6 linked regions of the Macaca mulatta genome follow. The protein of the gene in region 5 interacts with the protein of the main gene of each other region in a pairwise test. Links are inferred from orthologs where the notes say so. Each region holds a gene or a part of one and is shown on either strand. Other genes may lie near its edges.

Evidence for each region.
Region 1: the proteins of HNRNPUL1 (region 5) and PRPF40A interact in a two-hybrid assay, tested with the Homo sapiens proteins (2 studies listed by BioGRID and IntAct). The link is inferred for Macaca mulatta from reciprocal best matches to the Homo sapiens genes HNRNPUL1 and PRPF40A.
Region 2: the proteins of HNRNPUL1 (region 5) and HNRNPF interact in a two-hybrid assay, tested with the Homo sapiens proteins (3 studies listed by BioGRID and IntAct). The link is inferred for Macaca mulatta from reciprocal best matches to the Homo sapiens genes HNRNPUL1 and HNRNPF.
Region 3: the proteins of HNRNPUL1 (region 5) and WWP2 interact in binary tests that used the Homo sapiens proteins (3 or more experiments, as listed by UniProt). The link is inferred for Macaca mulatta from reciprocal best matches to the Homo sapiens genes HNRNPUL1 and WWP2.
Region 4: the proteins of HNRNPUL1 (region 5) and PRMT2 interact in a two-hybrid assay, tested with the Homo sapiens proteins (2 studies listed by BioGRID and IntAct). The link is inferred for Macaca mulatta from reciprocal best matches to the Homo sapiens genes HNRNPUL1 and PRMT2.
Region 6: the proteins of HNRNPUL1 (region 5) and DZIP3 interact in binary tests that used the Homo sapiens proteins (3 or more experiments, as listed by UniProt). The link is inferred for Macaca mulatta from reciprocal best matches to the Homo sapiens genes HNRNPUL1 and DZIP3.

What each region holds. Positions count from the first base shown.
Region 1 is NC_133417.1:57,628,312-57,632,555, forward strand, and holds the start of PRPF40A (pre-mRNA-processing factor 40 homolog A), read right to left. Parts: upstream 2,801-4,244; 5' UTR 2,779-2,800; coding exon 2,569-2,778; intron 1,472-2,568; coding exon 1,340-1,471; intron 1-1,339. Other genes in the region: ARL6IP6 (ADP-ribosylation factor-like protein 6-interacting protein 6), read left to right, coding at 3,965-4,244.
Region 2 is NC_133414.1:55,882,615-55,886,618, forward strand, and holds the start of HNRNPF (heterogeneous nuclear ribonucleoprotein F), read right to left. Parts: upstream 2,801-4,004; 5' UTR 2,724-2,800; intron 1-2,723.
Region 3 is NC_133425.1:65,382,093-65,386,236, forward strand, and holds the start of WWP2 (NEDD4-like E3 ubiquitin-protein ligase WWP2), read left to right. Parts: upstream 1-1,344; 5' UTR 1,345-1,422; intron 1,423-4,144. UniProt on the Homo sapiens protein: E3 ubiquitin-protein ligase which accepts ubiquitin from an E2 ubiquitin-conjugating enzyme in the form of a thioester and then directly transfers the ubiquitin to targeted substrates.
Region 4 is NC_133408.1:939,095-942,594, forward strand, and holds part of PRMT2 (protein arginine N-methyltransferase 2), read right to left. Parts: intron 2,806-3,500; coding exon 2,644-2,805; intron 1,699-2,643; coding exon 1,534-1,698; intron 1-1,533. UniProt on the Homo sapiens protein: Arginine methyltransferase that methylates the guanidino nitrogens of arginyl residues in proteins such as STAT3, FBL, histone H4. Acts as a coactivator (with NCOA2) of the androgen receptor (AR)-mediated transactivation.
Region 5 is NC_133424.1:52,406,476-52,410,471, reverse strand, and holds the start of HNRNPUL1 (heterogeneous nuclear ribonucleoprotein U-like protein 1), read right to left. Parts: upstream 2,801-3,996; 5' UTR 2,715-2,800; coding exon 2,420-2,714; intron 2,246-2,419; exon of another isoform or gene 2,052-2,245; intron 1-2,051.
Region 6 is NC_133407.1:175,012,729-175,016,228, forward strand, and holds part of DZIP3 (E3 ubiquitin-protein ligase DZIP3), read right to left. Parts: intron 3,169-3,500; coding exon 3,092-3,168; intron 1,460-3,091; coding exon 842-1,459; intron 1-841. UniProt on the Homo sapiens protein: E3 Ubiquitin ligase proteins mediate ubiquitination and subsequent proteasomal degradation of target proteins.

The sequences.
Region 1 (4,244 bases), on a different chromosome or scaffold from region 5:
GGAAAGAAACTAATTTTAAATAAGAACCAGAGCATTTAAAGAATAAATATTTTTAAAGCTCATTATCTAGTTAGAGCAGCTCTACCAAGAAAACAAGAAGAGCTCCTTGCTGCTTAGAGATGGAAAGAAACAGAAGAGGAATCAAAGTTGTTTCTCCATCACCTAGAGAGTTTTAAAATTTGTGTTATTCTAAAGTCACAGAATAAAAGGCTCTTTTATTTAAAGAACTCCTGCAAGCAGAATCTTTTGGGGCTGGTGTCTTTGAATAAAGGTTTTTTTTTGTTTTTTTTTTAAACAAAATTAAGGGCAACATTCCAAATTAAAAAAAAAAGAGGAAAATCACTTGACATTAAGCCCTTCTACTCTTAAGGTTAAGTAAAAAGAGACAGACACATAGCAAGCTCCTTTTCCCACTGCAATTTCACCAATAACTTTAACCATGAAAGCTTAAACAATTATCAAACAGTACTAATTAGCAAAAGATCACATGAAATTGGCTTCCAAAATATTTTGTTAGCCTAAATTTTTGATGATTTATGGAAATACTCAAATGGAAATAACCCAGCCACCTAAAGATCTATATAGAACTTAACATGGAGCACAAAATTACTCATGGTAACTGAACCTGTTACCTTTCTTAGATGCTTCTCTAGAAACTCAGTTCTACCGAAATCACTGAATCAGCATTAAAACCTTTTGATCCAAATCACTTCTACAAAATGTCCATTTACAATTTATGCTAGAGATGGAAGGGACAGCTCATAAGCAGGAGTGTAGAAGCAATAAGCATTAAAAAAAATAGTGTAAGTGGAAAATGAAGTACCTACTGGCACTGTCCTATGAAGAATCAGAATTATAGAGCACAAACCCCCCACCCTCCCTCACTCTCCTCCAACACACACAGAGGAAGATATTTCAGGAATAAAATTCGCTCTAAACCAAAACAATTGCTATTTTCAGATTCTATTTATTTACATGGTCTACCAAAATCAGTTATGTTGCTGTATCAGATAATATTTACTTTTAGACCATTAACTTCAATTGGCATGGTTGAAAAAATAATCATTAAAAATAAAAGCCTGGACGCACACTTTACTTTTAAATAATAATAAAAAAAAATTCTTAGTTTTGAGGTAATCAGTAAATTTCTCAGGAGACTTTTTCATTACATTCAAATTTCCATTACATTCATGATTCAACATTTGGCTTATTTAAAATTATTCGGGCATAAACTAATCCTTAAACAGCTATAACTATTGACCTAGATTTTGAAATCTTGACAGAATACCTGAGGCAAAAACAAATAAATAAATGCAAAATAAAATAAAAGCATTCTTACTTGTCCCATTGGTGGCCCTCCCATAGGGGGCATCATCTGTGGCATCATTCCATGAGGTACAGGAGGCATATTCGCTCTCTGACCCATAGGGTGCATTCCCATTGGGGCATAATGCATGCCAGGGTGCCCCATCTGAAAAACAGCGAACGTTTTTAAATGAGCAAATAATACTAAACGCTTCTCAAAAATCTCATTTCAACAAATCAGTTATCTGAAGCAACCTAATATTAAGCTTATGCATAATAATGTCACTGGATTAATCTATACCTTGTTTTAAACAAAATGCATTCTGCTAGTATTTAAAACGAGCTTGCAAATTCCGCAACAAAACGGGAAAAGTTAAGATGATTACTGGACAGCTGGATCATAGGTTTTCTCTTTTTTTTAAGCATTGACTTAATCAGCTACTAACTGGCTTGCTAAGCTTGGAGGATACATATTGAATACTAATCTTAAAACTGTTACAGTGAAAACAACAATTCTTCTATTTCATGCAAATATAAAAAATAGCCAGCTATTGTTATTTTATAACACTACTGATTTTAAACTTTAAAATGCTCTATCATATTAACTCAGGTGAAAGTCAGTCTTATAAAACACAAACAGTAGTGCCACCCAGGGACAATTCACTCCTAACAAACTTATTTCCTAACATAACCTTTAAGACAGGTAAAATTCCTTCTGTCAAAAATACATTTTTAACGACTGAGGTTCTGTTACTCACGGACACTAAATGCAAACAACTAATTCATCCCTTTCAACGCAATTTAAAAAGACAACTACTTTCTTTACCGATGAGTCCATTGTTCCATGTTTTAAATTAAAACCAGCTAATTATCTCCTGTCAATTGTCCTAACAGTTCCCCATGCAGACGACCCCACAAGTAATGAAAACAAATTTTGGCAGCCGCTGTTAAAGTCTTACAGAATCAAGCCCCTCCCTCCCCCTTCCAGCTAAATCGGGCCTAAAGCTCCAAGACGCTCACCCCGCCCAAGAGCCAGCACCTTCACCACGCATCTGTCTAGGCCAAGCCTACGGGGTACTTCCAGGGTCTCACATCCTTCTTTGTGCATCCCCACCCTCCACTTCTCTCCCTCACAACATATCCCACCATCTCGAGTTCTTCCTTCGTCCACTCTTATCTTCTTCTCCTTTCGGAGAAAGCTTCCTGTTTCTCTCACTCCGTTTTTCATTGTGCCGCCTTCCCCCTGCCCCACTGATCCCTTACCGAGGGCCGTCTCCTCAGGAAGCCGTCAGCAGAGACCCAAGAGCCGGAGCAGAGGCTTGAGCCGGACAATCTCCGCTCCCCGTCCCCAGGACCCTGCGAGGGAGGATGGCTCTCCATTTCACTCACCATGAGGCCTCCACGTTCAGCTCCCGTCCCCGGCCTCATCGTCGGGCTCAGACTGCTCCGCCGGCGGCCACTGCCGCTACACATACCAACAAGAAGCGATCTGAGTGGCTGGCGCCCACTGGGGCTAAAGGTTAAAGGCTGCCCTGCGCTACGGGGCGGGATCAGCGAGGCCAACAGGCTGACGGGCTTTCCCGCTGTCCAATCAGAATGCGCGGCCGACACGCAACTCTGCGGCGATTCGCCCGCAGCCTCAGCCTCACTCGGCGTCGCCTGCATGGGGCGGGGGGAGGACGGAGGAAGTTTCTGCGCCGAGTCCTCCGTCGGGAAAACTCTACCAACTTCCCCAGGGGAAGGGAAGACAACCGTGTCCCAGCTTCCCGAGCTTAGACCGCCTCACCCCGTAGGGGGTGGGGCAGTGGGGTCTGCCACCTTCCCCCTCCCCGCCCGAGTTACGTACGCCCCACAAACCTGAGGCCGCCAGGGGTAGGGTGGAGGGGGCGGGGGTAAGCAGCCTCTAGTGTTAGCGGTGGCTGGGACCGAATGCGCGCGCGCAGTGCTCGAGGCGGAGGGGAGGGGGCGGGGAAGGCGAAAGGAGGGGTTCCGAGGAGAGGGTTCGAGCTCGGTACGCACCAGGTGGAGAGCGCGCGCCTGGGCGGAGGAGGAAGGAGGCGTGTCGAGTAGCGTGAGGGAAGTTGTGGTACGGGTGGGGAGAACCACACTAAAGGGAGATGGGGTGAGCAGTGAAGGCACCGCCAGAGTACCAGGCAGAGAGCTGCCCTTTCTTAATAGGGGAACCTGGAGAAGAGTGTGAGCGTAGAGGGGAAGAAGGGAGAAGGCAAATAGGTTCGGGAATGTGTCGAAGGCGCGGGAGGGCGCTAGGACCCGGCGTCGAAAAGATGCGGCTTTGGGGCTGTCGGGTCTCGCGCTCCCGTTGGTGACGCGGCAGTGGCGGAGGTGTCCGGCAGGGATGAAGCGCTGCAGGGAGTGGATACTCGGCCGCCTTCGGCCTCCGCCCACTTCTCGCTGCGCGCTTTCCTGCTCCCCCTTCCGGCTACAGCCCTGGGGTCGAGCTCTGGTCCAAGCGCATCCCACCTCGCCTCAGGCCCTACGACTTCCTTTGCAACCCGCCGCCCAACCTTGCTCTCCGTGGTTTACCCCTGGGTTCTGAGGCATGGTGGTAGCGGCCACGGCCGCGGATTGGCTGTTGCGGACCCGGGGCGGGGCAGGTGGGAGAGGCTCATACTCCGCGGGTTTCGCTGTGCTTCGCGCCATGTCGTTAGCGGAGAGCGGGTGGCGGTCGGCTCTGCGGCGCCGCCGTCCCGGGACCCCGGGCCCTGTGGCTGGGCCAACATATTCCTCCTTTACTCAGGGGGACAGTTGGGGTGAAGGCGAAGTCGACGAGGAGGAGGGATGCGACCAAGTGGCCCGCGACCTGCGGGCGGAGTTCTCGGCTGGGGCGTGGTCAGAGCCCAGAAAGGGCTCGCTGCTCCCGCCGGACGGGGACGGGTCGCCTGTCCTGCCAGATAAGCGCAATGGTATCTTTCCCGCGG
Region 2 (4,004 bases), on a different chromosome or scaffold from region 5:
AAAATGCGAAGTGTGGGGAAGGAATGCTGCAAGACAACCCGACAAATATAACCGGGAATGGGGCCTTTAAGAAAGGGGAACTTCTAGATGATCACTGATACAGCATCCATTCACCACACCTGAAATGTGTATGTGTAAAACTCACTGGATTTTGACAGGTTCACAGGATTGTTTTTAATTATTTTAGTCAAGATCATGGAGAAACGAAAGTGTTTTAATAGTGGATATATGTTAGGTTAAATTATTAATACAATGAATCACGTTTCCTTTTACCACTAGAGAATATAAGATTGGCCGGGCGCGGTGGCTCAAGCCTGTAATCCCAGCACTTTGGGAGGCCGAGACGGGCGGATCACGAGGTCAGGAGATCGAGACCATTCTGGCTAACACAGTGAAACCCTGTCTCTACCAAAAAACACAAAATACTAGCCCGGCAAAGTGGCGGGTGCCTGTAGTCCCAGCTACTCGGGAGGCTGAGGCAGGAGAATGGCGTAAACCCGCACGGCACTCCAGCCCGGGCGACAGAGTGAGACTCCGTCTCAAAAAAAAAAAAAAAGAATATAAGATTACATTTATAGCATACATTATACTTCTATTGGCCAGTGCTGCTCTGAATTTAAAAAGTTATCTACAAAATATAAGGTGTGACTTTGGATCCTGACTCAAACCAACCAGTTGTTTAAAATATTTAATACGGAAACATTTAAACCCTGGAAACTTGGTATTTTGGAATGTATTTTTAGGTATGATAGCAGTATTATGGTTAGATTTTAAAAGTCCTTAGAAATACTGCGGATTTATTTATTAATAAACACCTTATTGGTCTGGGATTTGCTGTAAAATAACCCAGGGTGGTCTTGGCTGACTGTTCTCCCTCTGCCCACCCTGTTGCCCTCCAAAGAACCGTAGCTCAGGGGAACTAAGACAGGGCAAGGGCCCCGGCAGGGGAGGGGTGTCCCGGTCCAACTTGGGACCCAGTCCCAATTGTGTCCCTGGGCACGTGACTTCTCCCAACCTCCATTTTCTCATCTGGGGCTAATAGCAACCCCTTTTACAGTAGTCCTGAGAATGTAATTAGAAAATGGAATAAAACTTCTAGGACCTAGTAAGAATCAACTAATGTGGTTCTCTCGAAGAGCAGAGAACCAGAGCTCAGTGGAGGAGGGGAATTAGAGAAGTCACCTCCACGGAAAGGGCCTGTCACATTTCTGCAGCCCCTGCAGGCATCTACCCGCACTAGGCTCTCATTTGCCTCCAGACTTTCCAAGGTTCTGGCCACGTGGGAGAAGTAACTTTATTTACTCACTATTTTCCCTTAAATAAATTGCAATTTTTACCTGAATAAAGCTTTGTAACGCTACCCTTAACAGAAAACTTCACAGTTTACAAAAAAGTGGCCAGGCATGATGGCTCACGCCTGTAATCCCAGCACTTTGGGAGGCAGAGGCGTGAGAATCGCTTGAACACAAAAGTTTGAAAATCAATCTGGGCAACACAAGGAGACCCCATCTCTACAAAAAATACAAAAATTTGCCAGGCGTGCTGGAGAATGCCCGTGGTCCCAGATACTCGGCGGCTGAGGTGGGAGGACCCCTTGAGCACAGGAGGATCTCGGCAGCCAGCCGAGATCACACAGCCTGGGCAACAAAGTGAGACCCTGTCTCAAAAAATAATATATATAATATATATATCATTTTATAGAGACGGGGTCGGTCTCTGACGCCCAAGCGATTCTCCCACACCTCGGCCTCCCTAAATGCTGGGATTACAGGCGTGAGCCACCTCGCCCGGCCGGCAGTGACTCTAATCTACAGAATGCACACCGGAATGTAATACCTACAAGGCAAAAGATCTTTTTGCTTAGGAATAAAGCAATCTCTCTCTTTACATTCATTAAAGTAGTAATGTCTTATTTTATAAATTCTGTAAAAGCAACGAGTCACTTTTCAGGGATAGCACTTAAGATATCTTTCACCTACCTAGAGAACCCAATGAATTTTTATCTTACTAGGAATTCAGAGACAACCACGTATCTAACTTTTAAAAATATAAGTAGAAAGAATTATATGTGTATATTTTTGGAAGAATTAAGATGACTTTTTGAAAGGAACGACTGAAGACAACACTTTCAGAACTCCCTGCCGCCTGAGGCTGTGGCCCTGACCCCGGCGCAGCGCCCGCCCCGCGCGGTTCCGGGAAGCCGCCGTCGCCGCCCGTTGCCCTTCGCGCGCAGCCGCCAGCGCGCGCCTCCTGTCCCGCCACGCAGATGGCCGGCCCGAGCCCCCAGCGCCCGCAAGCAGTTTCGAAAACTAAAGAGGCGCGTTAGCTCGTCCCCGGGCCGCTCGGAGACCGAAAAGCCGCAGCGAAGGGCGCCCCGCGGGCAATGGCCGAGCTCGGCTCTCCTTCCACCCTCCAGCCGGGACACACGCGGAGCCGAGCGGGGATCCCAGGCACCTAGCGGGAGGGGTCCCCGCGACCTGGGCGGTCTGGCGGGGAGGGCGAGTCGGGTGCCCTGCTCCTCAAAACCCTGGTCCACGACTCTGCGGTTGGGGGAGCGGGGCAGCCGGCGCAGCAGGAGCCGGGCCCCGTCCTCAAGTTTCCTAGGAGCAGGGCGGAATCGACGAAAATGCTTCATACACACAAGCAGAAGGGAAAAAAAAAAAGACGACTAAGCCGAAGAGCGCGCACGAGTCAGATTTTCACCCCAGATACAAACACGGTACCTCTAGGAGCAGGAGACCAACACAGAGACCGCGCTACGAGGACACGCGGCGCCGCCGAGGAAGAAAATGGGCCCAGGGCAGAGAGCTAAGGCTCCGGGAACCGGGCGTGGGAGGAGGGCGGAGCCAACTCCCCACAAGGAAGTCTTGTGCAACTCTCAGGCGCCTACAGCCACGTGAGCGCGCGGCTTTCATTTTATTCAGGTATTATTACTACTGTTATTACTTCTGAGACAAGGTCTCACTCCCATCGGCCAGGCTGGAATGCAGTGGCACAGTCACTGTCACTGCAGCCTTGACCTCCTCAGAGCAAGCAACTCTCCCGCCTCAGCCTCTCGAGTAGCTGGGACAACAGGCGCGCGCCACCACACGTGGCTTTCTATTTTTTTTTTTTTAACTTTTTAGCAAAGACAGTTTCACTATGTTGCCCAGGCTTGTCGGGAACTCTTGGGCTCAAGAGATCCTCCCGGCTGGGCCTCCCACTGAGCCAGGCCTGTTCTCACTTTCAGAGCCCTCCGGTGGTCGCCAGCGCCCGACCAGGAGGCTGAACTAACGCACCGGCCGGCCGTGTCTTCCCGGCAGCCCCTGACTCCAAAATCTCAGCCCGCGGTGCTCACCGCGTGGGACCACTATCTGGGCGTGCGGCTCTCGACCTCCGACACTGCGTCTCCCGATCCCAGGGGGTCCAGTTCTCGTCGGTCCCACGTACCGGCCCCTCGACCTCGAATCCGTCCCCCAAATCTCAGCGCCGCGGCCCCTCATTATGTGCAGTCCTCGATCGGTCCCAGATGCGTGGCGCTTAAACTCAGATCTCTCCTCCCTGATCCCAAATCCCAGCCCCAGCCCCACCCACCCCAATAGGCCCAAACCCCAGGTAGTCCGGGTACGGGGCCCTGGACTTCGGAAGGTCTCCCCAATCTCAAATCCCAGGCCCACTGTCCACACCCCCAGGGGGACCCGGTCCCCGCTCGGTCACGGGTGTGCGGCCTTCGACGTCGGAGACTTCGGCCACCCCTCACCTCGGCCTCCGAGTCTCTACGCTCCCGCTCTCACATCAGGCACCCCGGTGGTCCCTCGGAGCACCTAGAGGAGGGTGGGACGCGGGGAACTTGGCAGTTGTAGCAGAGGCAGTTGAGGCTTGTTGACCATCACCATGGAAACCCCCGGCTGCGAGCACGGGGCGGGGCCTACGAGGGGCGGGGTCAGGCGCGCTGCCGGCCCCAGTCCTTAGCGCCTGCCCGACGAGAGCACGCGGCTTTGCCGGAAGCCCTCCTGCTCCCGGCG
Region 3 (4,144 bases), on a different chromosome or scaffold from region 5:
AGGTGTGGTGGTGGGTGCCTGTAGTCCCAGCTACTGGGGAGGCTGAGGCAGGAGAATTGCTTGAACCTGGGAGGCAGAGGTTGCAGTGAGCTGAGATCAAGCCACTGCACTCCTGCCTGGGCTACAAGAGTGAAACTCTGTCTCAAATAAATAAATAAATAAATAGTTATTGGGCAGGCACAGCGGCATTCACCTGTAGTCTCAGCAACTTGGGAGGCTGAAGCAAGAAGACTGCTTGAAGCTGGGAGTTCGAGCCCAGCCGAAGCAACCTATCCAGACCCATCTCTTAAAGAAAAACTTCTCTGCCAGGCGTGGTGGTTCATGTCTGTAATCCCAGCACTTTGGGAGGCCAAGGCGGGCGGATCATTTGAAGTCAGGAGTTTGAGACCAGACTGGTCAACATGTGGAAACCCTGTCTCTATGAAAAATGCAAAAGTTATCCAGGCATGGTGGTACATGCCTGTAATCCCAGCTACTGGGGAGGATGAGGCAGGAGAATCCCATGAACCGGGAAGGCGGAGGTTGCAGTCAGCTGAGATAGCACCACTGCACTCCAGCCTTGGCGAAAGAGCGAGACTCCATCTCAATTAAAAAAAAAAAAAAAAAATGCCTATCATCCATCTACCTACCTACCTACCTACCTACCTACCTACCTACCTACCTACCTACCTACCTATCTACCTACTTACCTGGATTGTAATTCGTTAAGCTGTCTGTGCCCTGTAGATTAAGGGAATGAGATTGGATTAGTGTGGAGGGGGGTTTTATGGATCCAAGCAGGAGTTTTTAAGCTTTTGTACTTTTACGTCACAAGGCGGAGATGTTTGTGGTTCTGGATCTTAGAGCAGTGCCTGCACATAATAGGCATAAGGTTGCCAGGAAATAGAAATACAGATACTCAATTCAATTTGATCTTCAGATAATCAACAAATACTTTTTTAGTATAAATATATCCCATTCTGTACTTGGGACATACATATTACACTGCTGTTTATCTGAAATTCAAATTTAAGTGGGTGTCCTGTACTTTATCTGGCAACCCTACTAAAGAGCTCAATTAAGTATTTGTTGACTTAATAGACTGAAGGTCTCGTTTCACCTGTAAAATGGGGCTAGTACCTGCCCCTGCCTCCATAAGGTTGATGGGCAGAGTAAATGGCACTCAGTGAGTCCTCAATTTATTTGACTGCCCGGGACCATCCGGTGAGCAGAAAGCCCTTCCACTTTCAAATGCAAAGACGCTAAAAATGCCTCCTCGAGGCCATAAGTGCCCAGGCCAGGCCTAGGTTGCCCGCACCTGCGAGCCTGGCCAGCCTCTTCCGGGTCAGGTGACCGCGCGCGGTCACGTGACCCGGCCCGAGTGCGGGCGGTGGAAGGCGGAAGTAGGAGAGGAGTTGGGCGCCGCTTCTGTGGCCACGGCAGGTAGCTAGCGCCGGCGCGGGGGGCGCGGCGGGCTGACTGCCTGCGCGGGGCGGGCCGGGGGCGGCGGGCGGCGCGGGGTGGGCCGGGGGCGGCGCGGCCCGGGCGCCGGGGGGCGGCGGCTTCCTGTGGGAGGGGCCTGGCGCGGCGGTTCCGGCCTCCGAGGAGGGGTGTCCCGGCTCCCGCCCGAGCGGGGTGGGCGCGCCGCGGCCCGCGCGGGGGCTGCTCCCAGATGGTCGCCCGGGCAGCCAAGGGTGCAGCTGGAGCGAGTCCTCCCGGAAGGGGAGAGGAGCTTAGGTGCCCAGGCATGGAGAGGAGCGATCTTTGTGGAGGGATCGGGACCAGGGGAAGGGGCGACTTGGAACTGAGCTGGAAGTGGGTACCTGAGAATGGGTTTATGGTGTGGAGCCAGAGGGAAGAAGATGCTGCCTGGACCCCCTCTGAGAGTTTCTCCCTTCCTTACTCTTTGGAAATGATTGTTGCCAAGACTTTGATGACGGTCCCATTCAGTTTTTAAACTTCAGGAGGGATCACAGAATCCTGGTCGCTTGCTTTCCTCGCGCCCACTTAGTCCTGCGTGGGTAGGGTTTCCACTTCTTGGGAGCCTAGCCCTTCGGCTCATTTTTCTTTGAGATTTTCCCTGAACAGGCCATCATCGAGGCTTTAAAAAACAAAAAAAGAAAATAAATTAAAAAAAGAAGTGTGCGCACTTTGCTCTGCCCATAACATGGCTTTTAGCTTACACTGTTGACCTAGCCCAGCGTTACCTCAGCAACATAGTGACTGCTGAAATCTTGGACAGAGGAGTGTCTACCTAGACTGCTTTATGACTTTTCCTCTTTCTTCCGTTTAAATTATTCAGTTTCCCTTAGCGTGTGACTGCTTATCTTGATGAACTGTAACTAGGTAGGGTGACTGAGAGGTCTGTGTTATGTTCCTTAGAACTGTGACCTGGATCATGATTTTGAGATTAAATACTTGTGTTAAAGCCTGTTCATCCTCCTGTTTCTCATGTTTACTAAAATTTGCAGAAGCGAAGGGAGTTTCATGAGTGCAGTGTAACTGGAACAAATGTTCAAACTGGACATTCACAGCAGCCAGCGTCGTTTTGGGTTACAAGTAGGAAAAAGTACTTTCCTAATGTATTATGAGTTCAAGTTTTTGGAGTTATTTGACAAACATTTAAAAATTAGTTTTTGTAGCAGCTTCTATGAGTGAGGTTGGGAAGGTGTTATTCTCATTTCACAAGGAACAAACAGACTTAAGAGAGACGATTTGATTTTTTAAAACAATTTATTGGTGTTTCTTGTTTGCTGGCCTCTTTTCTTCCTGCTAGATTGCAAATCCTTCAAGGGCAGGTTTCATATTTTCTTTGGCTCCTAGCCTAGTGCCTGGTATGTTGTGGGCACTTGATAAATATTTGGTGAATAAATGCATTTCTAAAAGTCACACTGGCATAAGTGGTGATAAGGGGTTTGAACCCAAGTCTTCTACTCTTTCTCTTGTCAGACAAGCTTGTGATTATCTGTGTTACTGGTCCATATGAAAATAGGCTCGAGAGAAAGACTTGGATTGGCTTCTCAGTCTCTTTCACTTCATGATTACTTTCGCATTTGCAAAGAGCATATACCAACATCTCACTTAACCTTCCCTGTGAAATTGGGGTGGTCAGTATTGTCCCTGTATCACAGATGAAGAGACTGAGGCTTAGTGAAGTCTTTACTTTAGATCCCAGAGCTAGTAAATGAGTAGGCACTCAAGCCCAGGCCCTTAATCCTTAGACCCATTCTTTTTCATTTATTGACACAATGGAAAAATTTATTTTTATTTTATTTTGAGACAGGGTCTCACTCTGTTGCCCAGGCTGGAGTGCAGTGGCACGATCACTGCTCACTGTAACCTTGACCTGCCCGGGCTCGGGTGATCCTCCCATGTCAGCCTCCCAAACAGCTGGGACAACAGGTGGGTGCCACCTCGCCTGGCTAATTTTTGTAGAGACAAAGGTTTTGCTATGTTGCCCAGGCTGTTTTCAAACTCCTGGGCTCAAGCAGTCTTCCCACCTCGGCCTCTCAAAGTGTTGCAATTACAGACGTAAGCCACCATGCCCAACTGAAAGTTTTACATAATTTTTCAGGAATAAAAAGTGTGACATTTTAAGGAAAAAGATCACACAGAAAAAGTTGTGAATGTAGAATGTGAGTAAATGAAGTTTAGAAAATGCTGTACTCTACCATAGCTTCCTCTTCCTGGGAAAACATTCTTTCTTTCAATGAATATTTATAAGTACCCCCTCTGTCTTTGCTAAGCATTGTTGTACAATTCAGTATGGTGTACACTAGCCACATGGGGCTGTTGAGCACAGCAGCTATGCTGTGAGCATAAAATACATTCTGGATTTTGAAGACTTAGCATGAAGAAAAAGTAAAATGTCTCACTGATACCTTTTATGTTGTAGTAAATGATCATATAATATGTGTAAACATGTATGGTAACATTTTGGATTTATCGGGTTAAGTACAACATAATTATAAATAGTTGGTTGGACATGGTGGCTCATGCCTATAATTCCAGCACTTCGGGAGGCCAAGGTGGATGGATTTCTTGAGCCCAGGAACTTGGGACAAGCCTGGGCAACATGGCGAAACCCTGTCTCTACAAAAAATACAAAAATTAGCCAGGTGCAGTGGCGCCCGCCTGGCTACTCAGGAGGCTGAGGTGGGAGGAT
Region 4 (3,500 bases), on a different chromosome or scaffold from region 5:
CATGCCAAGCCCCCAACGGCACATCCTGCCTGCTGGCCCTGCTCTGCATCTCCACACCTGCGCCATGCCAAGCCCTGGCTCCTACATCTTGACAGTAAAGCCACAGTCAGTCCTGGAAGTCTGTGCACCTCCCACACAGAGGGGCCTCCCTTCACACAGGCTGTCCCAGGCCTCTGCATGCTGGGGCTGGACCACAGCCAGTCCCTGGCCTCTGGTCCCGGCCACACATACCCAGGGGCCTCCAAAACACAGCCCACCTCTTACTCCATCACTCACACACACCACTGGCACTCCCCTTGGTGTCCAGGATGTGGCACAAAGTCCTCAGACACACAGTACCCTACATCTGGCCTCTGCCTCCCTGATGCAACACAGTCTGGCCAATCCGGCCACTGGGCAGCCCCGGAACACAGCAACATGGTGAACACAGTGGCTACTCCTCTCCCCTCCCTCTGCCCCACGTCCCTCCTGTGTCCCTGTCACCCAACCCAGGGCACAGCCGGACACCGCAGCAGCCAGGCTTCCCCACATCAGTGCCCACACACCCTTGGCCTCACCACAGCCTCACTCCTCTTCTGTCCTCTTTTTGTCCCCGTAGCCAGGCACGAGCTGTCAACAGACACTTATTGAATGGGCACAGCTGTTCAGGGGCAAAGGTGAAAGCCCCTTCAGGGATTGGGAGTGGAGCCCGTTTCTCTAGTGTGTCACCTTATGGCTCCACAGACGTTATTAATAAGCCAAGTCACAGCATGGACATTGAGTCTATTTACATTTATCTTCTGACAACAAAATTTCAACAGGACTAAAAGCCAATGCCATCTGTTACCACGGGAAACCGTTTCCTGGAGAAGCAGCAGCCATATTTCACACTCCTTCACCCAGACCCCATCTTTCTGGGTCTCTACACTGAGACGCAGTTTCAGGTTGGGATGCTCTACTCCGATGTCCTGTGTTCCAGGATGCTGAGCCCAGGAGGAGAGCACCAGGCAGACAGCGTCCAGCCACACTCCTGTCACTTTCCCTCCAAGCAGACAGTGTTTGTGCAGGGCATATTCGCAAGCAACCAGAAAACAGTCCACTTCCACCCACATGTGAAACTCAGGGTGAACGACCCAGGCCAGGCCAGGCACATGCTGGCCCCACAGATGCCCAAGTGGCTTCACAGCATCACTGGGGCCAGTCTAAGGTAAGAAGACCCTGGCCAGGGACGAAGGCCCTACTGGCGTTAAAGAAACAGCCTTACCTGTTAGGCACAGGATTTTTACAGATTCCCGAGAACACAGTTCATGTAAATCACTCATGAAAATGTTACATGAACTTTGACTTAAATTTCTCATAAAGGCATTTTTTAAATCAGGTGAAAATTCAAGACACTGAGCCAATGTGCACACAAGAAATTAATTATACCTCACAATAGGGAAAACATCAAAATGAATCATGCATGACTCTTCAGATCCTGAGGTTGGCCCAGCCGAGCCTGTGCTCAGAAGCCCCCCAGCCCTGGCCCCCAGCTGCCCGCACGCCCCCCCTCACCAGCAGGCAGGTCCCCATCCACTCGGACACCAGCACATCCACCTTCTCGGGCAGTACCACGTCCTCCACCTTCTGTTGGAACACGGTGATGATGTCGGCAAAGCCATTCTGCAGGACCAGCTGCCCCGTGTGCTGTGCCATCTCACTGGCCTCCACCGCATACACCTGCAGCAGCAGAAGCACCGTCAGTGCACGCCCAGCCTCGGCCCGTCATCTACTCTCCTGAGTCACAACCAGCATACGAGAAATGGTCAATGACACAAGAGGGAAGCAGTATTCCAGACAGCAGAGAAAGTGAGGGCTGGGCCACACCTGCCCCTCCAGGGACACCCAGAAAGGAGCCGCCTCTAACCCTCCCGACTGCCCCCACCTCCTGCACAAGACACAGACGCAGGGCTGCAAGTGGGCGGAAGCCTCGCATGCCCGAGTCGGCTGCCACACGCACAGCAATCTTAATCCATGACCAGCACAGCAAGTTCTGAGCACCCAAGTGACAATGCTGGTCTGTGCCACATCTGAGGCCTGTGAGACAGTTTCAAACCCAGGGTCTCAGGGAAGGGTCTGGTGGGAAGTGCCCAAGTGCTGGGCCCTGGGTCCTGCAGAGCCTGGACTTGGGTGGACACTGTGCTGCGACCCCACCCACTGTGTAAGGAGTCTCCAAGGCTGCGGCTCGGCTCAGCTCAGCACAGCACAGATGGCCCAAGAGGAGTGGGGAGGGGGCCCAGCGTGTGCACCCCTCCCATCCCCGTGGGACCATCCATACCCAAGGCCCAGCACAGACATGTGGGTGCACCTGTTTGTCTACTCAACTGAAATAAATGTCTCACAGAACATACCCCGCCCTGTGCAATTCATGGGATATTTTCTATTCTGCTCTATTCCTGTCTGTGCTGTGACTCATTACGTGGGCGCCACAGCCTCTAGCATGCAGTCTCAACACACTGCTGTTTTACCGACCCTGAGCTGCACGTGCAAGGATGCTCACCAACACCACGGAGTCATCAGTGAGCCCTCAACAGCTCAGGGTCACGAGTTAGCACACTCAGAGGCCACCTCGGACATCACCAGCCTTGGCACAAACACCCGGGAAGCGTTCGAGACCCCACTCACCGCTTTAGGCCGCGCATAGTGTGCACAGAAGAGACTGATGATCCCAGTCCCACAGCCCACGTCCAGGATGACTTTATCCGTTAGGGATTCTTTATTCTGCAGGATGACACTGTGGTATTTAGTTGTTCGTGGCTGGTCTGCCAACATTTCCAAGTGGAGTTTCTGGAAGAAATGCACATTCAGAATCACTGCCTGTGACCTAGAGCCATGCCAAGTTCTGGACTGAGATGGAGGGTCAGAGCCACAGCTGATAACCCCTGACCCCGCCACCCCACATCTAAAAATATGAGCAAAACACAAGAGCAACAGTACTGGCTTCTGGAGTCCCTCAGCTCAGCACAGCACGGCCAGGCGAGCAGACAGGCAAGAGGGAGCACTGTGCACACAGGGGTGCAGTGTCGCCCGGACCACTGAGGCTGGAGGGACCACCGCATCCCAACGAGACTCCCCAGGGCCAGGTGTCCGACTACAGAAAACAGCAATACACCGTGAGAGAGGGGCCAGCGTAGGTGGGCAGGGGGTCCCCCAAAGTCCTCTGCACACATGAGCTCACCCCTCCTGTTCTTGGGGAGTGCCCCGAGGGATAAGTGAGAGACCCAGCCTTGTCCTGAGGGAGGAAAATGCCTGAAACCCAAGGACACCTACATGAGAATCAGCCACCCTGAAAGGAGGCAGAGAAAGGCTTGCTCAGGGCAGCCAGCAAAGCCGCGGGCTGGAGGAGAGGCTGCACCCCTCCCACCAGCACTCTCGAGCTGCAGAAGGCCCGGCGTAGAAACAGCATCGCCAGAAAGAAGACAGGCAGCAGCCAGGAGCAGAGCGAGGACCGCGCCCAGACCACACCAGCAGACAGGAGCCTG
Region 5 (3,996 bases):
CGATTTCATTCATAACACCCCCGGGGGCTAGAGCGAACACACTATTTGTTGATTAACCCCATTTTACACGTAAGGAAACCAGGCTCACAGAGATGAAGTGACTTGCCAATATCTTTAAGCCAGATTTGAAACGAAGTCTGTCTGAGTCTAGAATCTACGCTCCAAAGCACCTAATTCGCTTTCCTCTCAGAGACGACTCTCTGGCCAGACCACCAGGTAACTACTACCCCACTACCCTTTCTTGCTAGGCATTCCTGCCACGGTCCCTCCTGCTCTAGACACACACACACAGGCCCACTCCTTTCTTCACAAGTCTCTGCAATGGGAAGTTCTCTTTCCAGCACCTGGATCCTAGATAATCTCTAGGCCATTGCCTATCCCAAATCCACACTCGAGTTATCTCCCTCCGGGAAACTCTATCTCTTATGAACAAGTATCCAATGCCAATCCCAAATCTTGTCTCCACTGTTACCTCATTTCTGTCCTCATTCCCTTAGCCCCAAGTCCCATGGTGCCCTCTTTTCGGAAAAACTCCACAAATTCTTACGCCAGAATCCCTTCTACTTACTCCTTAACCTTTCCAGTCCCCCCATTTCCCAGTCCTACTAGAAACCTGCCCTGAGGCCTGGTGCAGTGATTCATGCCTGTAATCCCAGCACTTCAGGAGGCTGAGGTGAGCAGATCACTTGAACCCAGGAGTTCAAGACCAGCCTGGGCAACATAGCGAGACCCCATCTGTATTTTTAAAAAAGAGAAAGAAAGCAAGCTCCTTTTCCTTTTTTGAGACAAAGTTTCACTCTTGTTGCCCAGGCTGGAGTGTAATGGCATAATCTCGGCTGACCACAACCTCCCCCTCCCAGGTTCAAGCGATTCTTCTGCCTCAGCCTCCCAAGTAGCTGGGACTACAGGCGCCCACCACCACGCCCGGCTAATTTTTGTATTTTTAGTAGAGACGGGTGATGGGGTTTCACTATGTTGGCCCGGCTGGTCTTGAACTCCTGACCTTGTGATCCGCCCGCCTCGGCCTCCCAAAGTGCTGGGATTACAGGCGTGAGCCACTGCACCCGGCCCGAAAGTTGCTTTTTTCTAACTGAAGATTCACTCCGTCCTATACCAGGGTTTCCTCTCCTCAGACAACCGCAGATCTACCCGAACCCATTCCCAGAGTCACACCTCCTGGCTGATGCAGAGTTCTGTGCTTCCCGCTGAAGGCCCCCACTCCCTGGGTACACAAATAACTGCTTCTGGGAACCGACCATATCTCTGGGAGACGCTCAGGTCCAGAAACATTCCCCACACTCCACTCTGAGGCCTCCAGTGAAGTCAACAGGTTTTCTTTCTCTTTGCTCCCTACAGCCTCCCCCCTCCCCATATTCGCTAAGCCAGATACATACTCCTTCTGTGCTGGACACAGGATCCTCTGTCTCCTGCCACATATTTCATCCACTTGGAATGTTACCAACTCATCTGCCCCCATCCCACCCGCAGCTACCCCGTTCTCCAAAAAGCCCACAGTTAGCTCTAGACCATTCAGCAGCAGCCTCAGAGTTATTTGTCCTCAGTCTTCTTAGCTCTAGACCCCCAGATCCTTTGTTGAGGGAAAAATCCTCTCCCCCTCCAGCCTCTGGACACCAGGGCTCCCTACACCTCTTCTAGAAGCCAACCAGAAAGTCCCCAGATCTCCCAGCACCAAATGTCCAGGCTGTGCCTGCTTCAAGGGTGGCCTTCCAGCCCCGGAAGAGAGATGGGGGTGCCCCCTCGTTCAATCTCCCGCAGCCCCTAAATGCTCACCAGCCAAACTCCAAAGCACTGAGTCCATTAGACCCTCCCCAGCCACAGACACCAGCGCCTCCACCTCACCCACCCACCCCCGAAGCAAATAGGAGAACTCCCAGGATCGCATCCAGCGGCATACTCCAGGATTCTGCTTCCTCAAAACTCTCGCAGCCCCGCACACCTGGACATTCTTTCCCCACCCTGGAAACACGGCTCCCCACCCCGCAGCCCACACGCTGGGCTGGCCAGGCCGCCAAGCCCAAGGAGCTCCGAACCCCAAGATCTCCATTTTCGAGACCCTCCCAACCCAAATGGAAAACCTCTTGTTCTTCCGACTCTCTTCGGCTCCAGAAACCAGTTTCCGGTCTCCGATCCCTACGGTAAGGAATCCTCCCCGCCACCCCCGTCCCTCACCTCCGAAACCCAGAGGCCCCTCCCCCAGTGTGCCCCCTGCACCGAGCGTCTGGATCCACCCTCCGGTCGTGCCGGGGCCCTTGTCCCCAGATCCTTTTCGGCGGCGGGTAGCGGGATCCCCCGATCCTCAGGTCGTCTCCCCGACCTCAGGCGCTGGACTCCCGCGTCCCACAGCCCTTTCCTCGGCCCAGGCTCCGGGCTCCCCGGCCCCCGCCCCGCGCACTCTCACAATGTCCGTCCGGCCCCGAGTAGCCGCCGGGCTCCGCGTGCGGCTGCAGCCCGGGCGGCGGTGGCTGCGCGGTCCCCTCCAGCTCGGAGCCCCCCTCGGTCTCGACCTCCTCGTTGATGTGCCCGGGTCGCCCCGGTTCGTCGTCGGCCTCGAGCTCCCGCTCGTCGTCAGGCTCCTCGGCCTCCAACGCTGCCTGCAGCCGCTCAGCAAGCTCGGCCTTGAGGCCTCGAGTGTCCAGGCCGCGGCGCTGCAGCTCCTCGCGAAGTTCGTTCACCTTCAGACGGCGCACATCCATGGCCCGGGCCCCCGGGGTGGCCCCCGAGCCCGGCCCGGCCTCCCAGGGCTCTGTCCCCCTTAAACCTTTCCTGTCAGGAGGCGAAGGGGGAAAGGGGGGGGGCCCACTCCAATGGCGGCGGCGGCTCAAAATGGCCGCCGCCACCGCCTCCCCCTTCACCCGTGCCTCGTCCGATGTAATACGAGTGCCAATTGGTCAGTGCATGGGGCAACGGGCGCGGGCCCGGAAACCTAGCCAATCAGAGTGCGGTTTTCAAAACAACGGCAACGAGAAGGCCTACGAGCTACCGGGTAGGAAGCGTTGGCCTACGTCGAAGCCGAGGCCGGAGCGGAGGGCGGGAAAAGGCAGGAGGCGGAGCGTGCGCTGATTGGGTAGCTCTCGCGCGCCGGCTGCAGTAAAGCCCAATGAAAATAAGGGAGTAACCCTTTGGACCAATCAGCGGTGAGATCTCAGAATGAGCGTCCGACGGCCTTTCCTGCGCAGTCCTTTCATCAAACTAAGTGTCTCTGTAACACACATTCCGATTGGTGTATATCTCCCGCCCCTTGAGGAGTCCGAGCGGGTAAAACCACTAGAACCAATCAAATGGAGGGTCGTCAGAAACCCCTCCTTCCTGTTGCCTTTAAGAAACCGGAAAGAGATGAATTCACCAGGGGCCCGCCCCTTGCCGTTAGGGCGGTTTCAAAACAATCTGCCCACCAATCGCAGTTATTGTCTTAGCTCACTAAAGCGTAGAGATGGCTCGTTTTAGGAAAAATGCCCCAGATTGGCCGTGCTTCAGAGGACTGCCTCACAAATTTCGCTGTAGGAGGAGGTATACGAAATAGATATTAAGTGGATATACAGTTCGTAATCTGGAAGGAACCCAGTTGCCTTTAGTAAAAGCAAAATTTTGACTTTAGAGAGTCCCGAAGGTTTGACTATAGAGACTAGACTAACAACGGGAGGCTAGTTGTAAAGGACACGGCCTCCCCTTCCCTTGGGTAGTCCGCGGCGGCCTTGCTCTATGGTCGGTGCCTGACGTGGAACGGGCGCTCTGCACGCGACCATAGAGCCTTCCCCTTACGAAAGACATCCAGAAGTTCACCGACCGCCCTCTCCAATCCTCTAATCGGCTGTTCCCGTAAATCGGGCTGTCTGGCGTCTGTATTGACAAGCTCAAACCCACGGATCCGTCATTAACCTTCGCGCTCATGAATACAAAAGCCACAGAGCTTCCCTGTGTCTAATGCTGCACCACCTGTCGCCTCTAACTCAGAAAACAAAACTCGAGTAAGACGCA
Region 6 (3,500 bases), on a different chromosome or scaffold from region 5:
ACTTGGGACCAGGAAGTCATCCTGAATAGCACAGCAGGGTTTCAGAGATGTTGTCATGCCTTGAACTCTGCTTTCCGAAAGAATAGCTGAGAAGGTATCCTGAGATGTGGGAGAGGAGGTCTGAAGTCTTTTCCATATCAACAGACAAGTTGGGGAATGGCCAATACAAACACTTGCATGAATGTTACTTGATTTTTAAAATTACCTACAGCCAACGAATAGCTGCTAAAATTGTAAACTAAACAAGGTTCTGCTAGAAAGTAGAAGAAACATATATCCACACTGTCTAAACGAACATCTTTGAAACCACACAGTACCTATATGTCATGGTTTTAGACTTTACTAATTTTGGAGAATAAAACTCCACTTAATGTGATAAAACTCTACTTAAAAGTCTTCAACGATTTCTGTCTGAACAATGCAAACTCCTCAATGTGACAAAAAAATCCTCTTGAATGTACCTTATGAACTCTCCCCTAATCTCAATAAAGCCAACCTTTTTTAGTTGCCTGCAGTATATTTTTATGTTTCTATACGTTTATTTTTGTCTCCCTCTGAAACATCCTTCTCAATCTTTTTCACCTGGCTAACTTTTGCACACCATTAATAGTTCTTTAACAATCACACTCTCCAGAAAGCTTTTTTGGACTCCTTCAGCCTAGGATTTCCCATGGTATTCTGGAAACATCTCTAGCACTATAATTTCTATTACCCTCCTGATGAGTCTATTTTCCCAAAACCATGAGCTCACTGAATCTCTTGCCCTTTGCACTGTGCCTGGCACAGAGCAGACATTCAATCAACGGAAGTTTATTGGCTGAAGTAAATAATCACTTAGTACCTTGTTGATAGCAGGATAACATCCTCTGTATGATTTCTGGTACTGGTATGCCTAGGTAGATGGATAGCTGATGGTAATCAAGGGAGATATTCTCAATGGGATTCTCCTTCACTTTGTCAATATCCTCTTGCTTCATCCCAAGGCGCAGAAGAATATCTGAAACTTTTTTCCAAATTGAACTGAACTGTGACTCAGTGAGACCATTCATCAAAATCTCACTAAGGAGGATATCTCTGTATTTGCACAGTCGCAGGATGTCTGCAGATTTACAGATGTCAGAAGATGGCGGTTCCATATTCCATCCTTTTTTGGGTGCAGGGAACACATTCAAATGTTTTATAAGAGCTAACAGGAGGCATAAGTCAAACTGTTTGGATTGTGGTAACTCCTTGTTTGGAGGATAAAGCAGATGCCATGATCCACCCAAAGGATGATTGGTCCAAAGATGGTTATAGTAGGATTCCAGCACATTCTTGTGTATAAGAAGCTCTTTTTTCAAAAGAGGGGGTGGCATAGCCTCATCAAATATTTGCCGAACAATGTCAGTACCAGAAATAATAATTATATGAAGCAGATGATAGAAATAATTATAATCAAGCTTGAAGATAGGCATTTCATCTGAAAATAAATTTTGGGAAGTCAAGACATTCCACATTAATTCTCTTTTTCTATTTGGTCTCTCATATTATATCCTAAGCTCCTGCAGGATAAAAACTATTCCAAAACAATGAAGGATTGCACAGGGCTTTGCCACAGCCAGTGCTCAATTAGCATGCTGCTTTATCTCTGTCAAAACATCTAAAAAAAAAATGTTCCCAAGCAAAAGTAATAACAAAGACTAATCACCACAGAAGTCTTTCAGTCATCCAAGGTTTTGTTCAAGTAAATGATCTTTGGCAACAAAATGACATCACAGTATTAGGTCTTTAAAAATTCTGAAATTTGCCAAGAATGCTAATTGTCAATGTTTAACTCTACTTTACATAAACAATTATACTTTATCCTAATCAGCACTGCCCAACAGAATATCGTGTGATAAAATGTTTTATATTTGCACTAATACTCATTGAGCACTGGAAATGCTGCTTGGGTGACTAAGGAACTGAATTTTCAATTTAATTTTAATTAATTTAAATTTAAGTAGGCACATACAGCTAGGGACTACTATACTAGATAGCTCAGATCTATATCAAGAAATGCCAAAAGATCTAGCTCCTTGCTACTCAAAGGGTAGCCCAGAGACCAGTAGCATCAAGCATCCACCTGAGAGCCTGTTAGAAAAGCACAGTCTCAGGCCCCACTCCAGACCTACTGAATTGAAATCTGCCTTTTAACAAAATTGCCAGATATATCAAATATATGTATAATGTTTGAGAAATTCTGATCTAATAAAACTCATCTTCTCACCCCCTCAAAAAAAGAGAGGTAGGTATTTCATCAATAACATGGAATAAGGCATGAAACTGAACTATTTGGTATTTTCCTGTTTTAATAGTGCTTTCAAAGGAGAAAAGTGGGCTGAGGTGAATTAGAAAGTACTAATAATTTGTTATATGACGGCATTTGGTGTTATATGGATATCAAAATATGTGTTTCTCACAAAATGCAGCTTTATTTTATCCTTCAAGATTCTATGTTTCAAGAGATTTATTAAATTAACATTTTTGCTTGAAATACTCGATATACACTGTGGAGGCAAAGTTAAAAAGCTAATGACACAGGGAGCTTTCTTTGGGTTACCAACCAAATACAAAGTTGGCTAGACTGCCACCAAACTATTCTTCCATGGGCCCACGGTCCCTTAATTAAGGTCTCCAGGTTCTGGGCAGGATATTTCCTAGCACACTCCTAAAAAGCTGGCAGCTAAGTTTAGAGTACTTGGCCTTAAACTCAAAATGTTCATTCCTTTCATGTAAGGGTACTCTAATGCTTGCTCTATTAAGAAGGAATGCAACAAGGGAAGGAAGGGTTGGTAGAAAACCTCTGCTGGAACACAATCCCACGGTATAGTCATAGTTATGCACCAGACCTAGCATGCCTCTCTATAGGATGCCAAGGTAATGTGAGATCCATACATCTGCTGATCTTCCTGTCTGTGATTTCCAGCCTACACCAAGTGCTCGTATAAACCCAAGCTTAGTGAATGACAAACACGGTAAAGACGTGGTTGTTTATGGCATGAAAGTTGACAGAGAAGTCAAAAATTTTAACATACTTTTCAACAGAAGGCATATAAAAATAAAATAATACCTTTTGTATTAAATTTTAAACTGATCTTCGGTCTTATATCAGTATCAGTTATTTTCAGAGATATCAACTTTTTATAACTGCAAATGGAAAAAAATTAAGTTATAGCGGAAATAAAACAATGTGAAAGTCAGTCAAGATTTCTAGTATGAGCATGGCTAAGTAAGTATTTTCATCTTCTACTCCTAGAAATAATTCAAGAAGGAGAAAAAATAATGAACAAATAGAGCTCACCAACAATGACAACCCTACACTGTCACTTTCATTGGAATTATCAAGTAAGCAGTATTGCCAGATTTCATACTAAAGTTATCATATTACAAACTTCCTTGCAAAAAGGATGTGTGGTAGCAGAAAAAAAGGAAAGAAAGCTTTGCACTGTAAGACAAAAAAAAAAAAAAAAAAAAAAGCA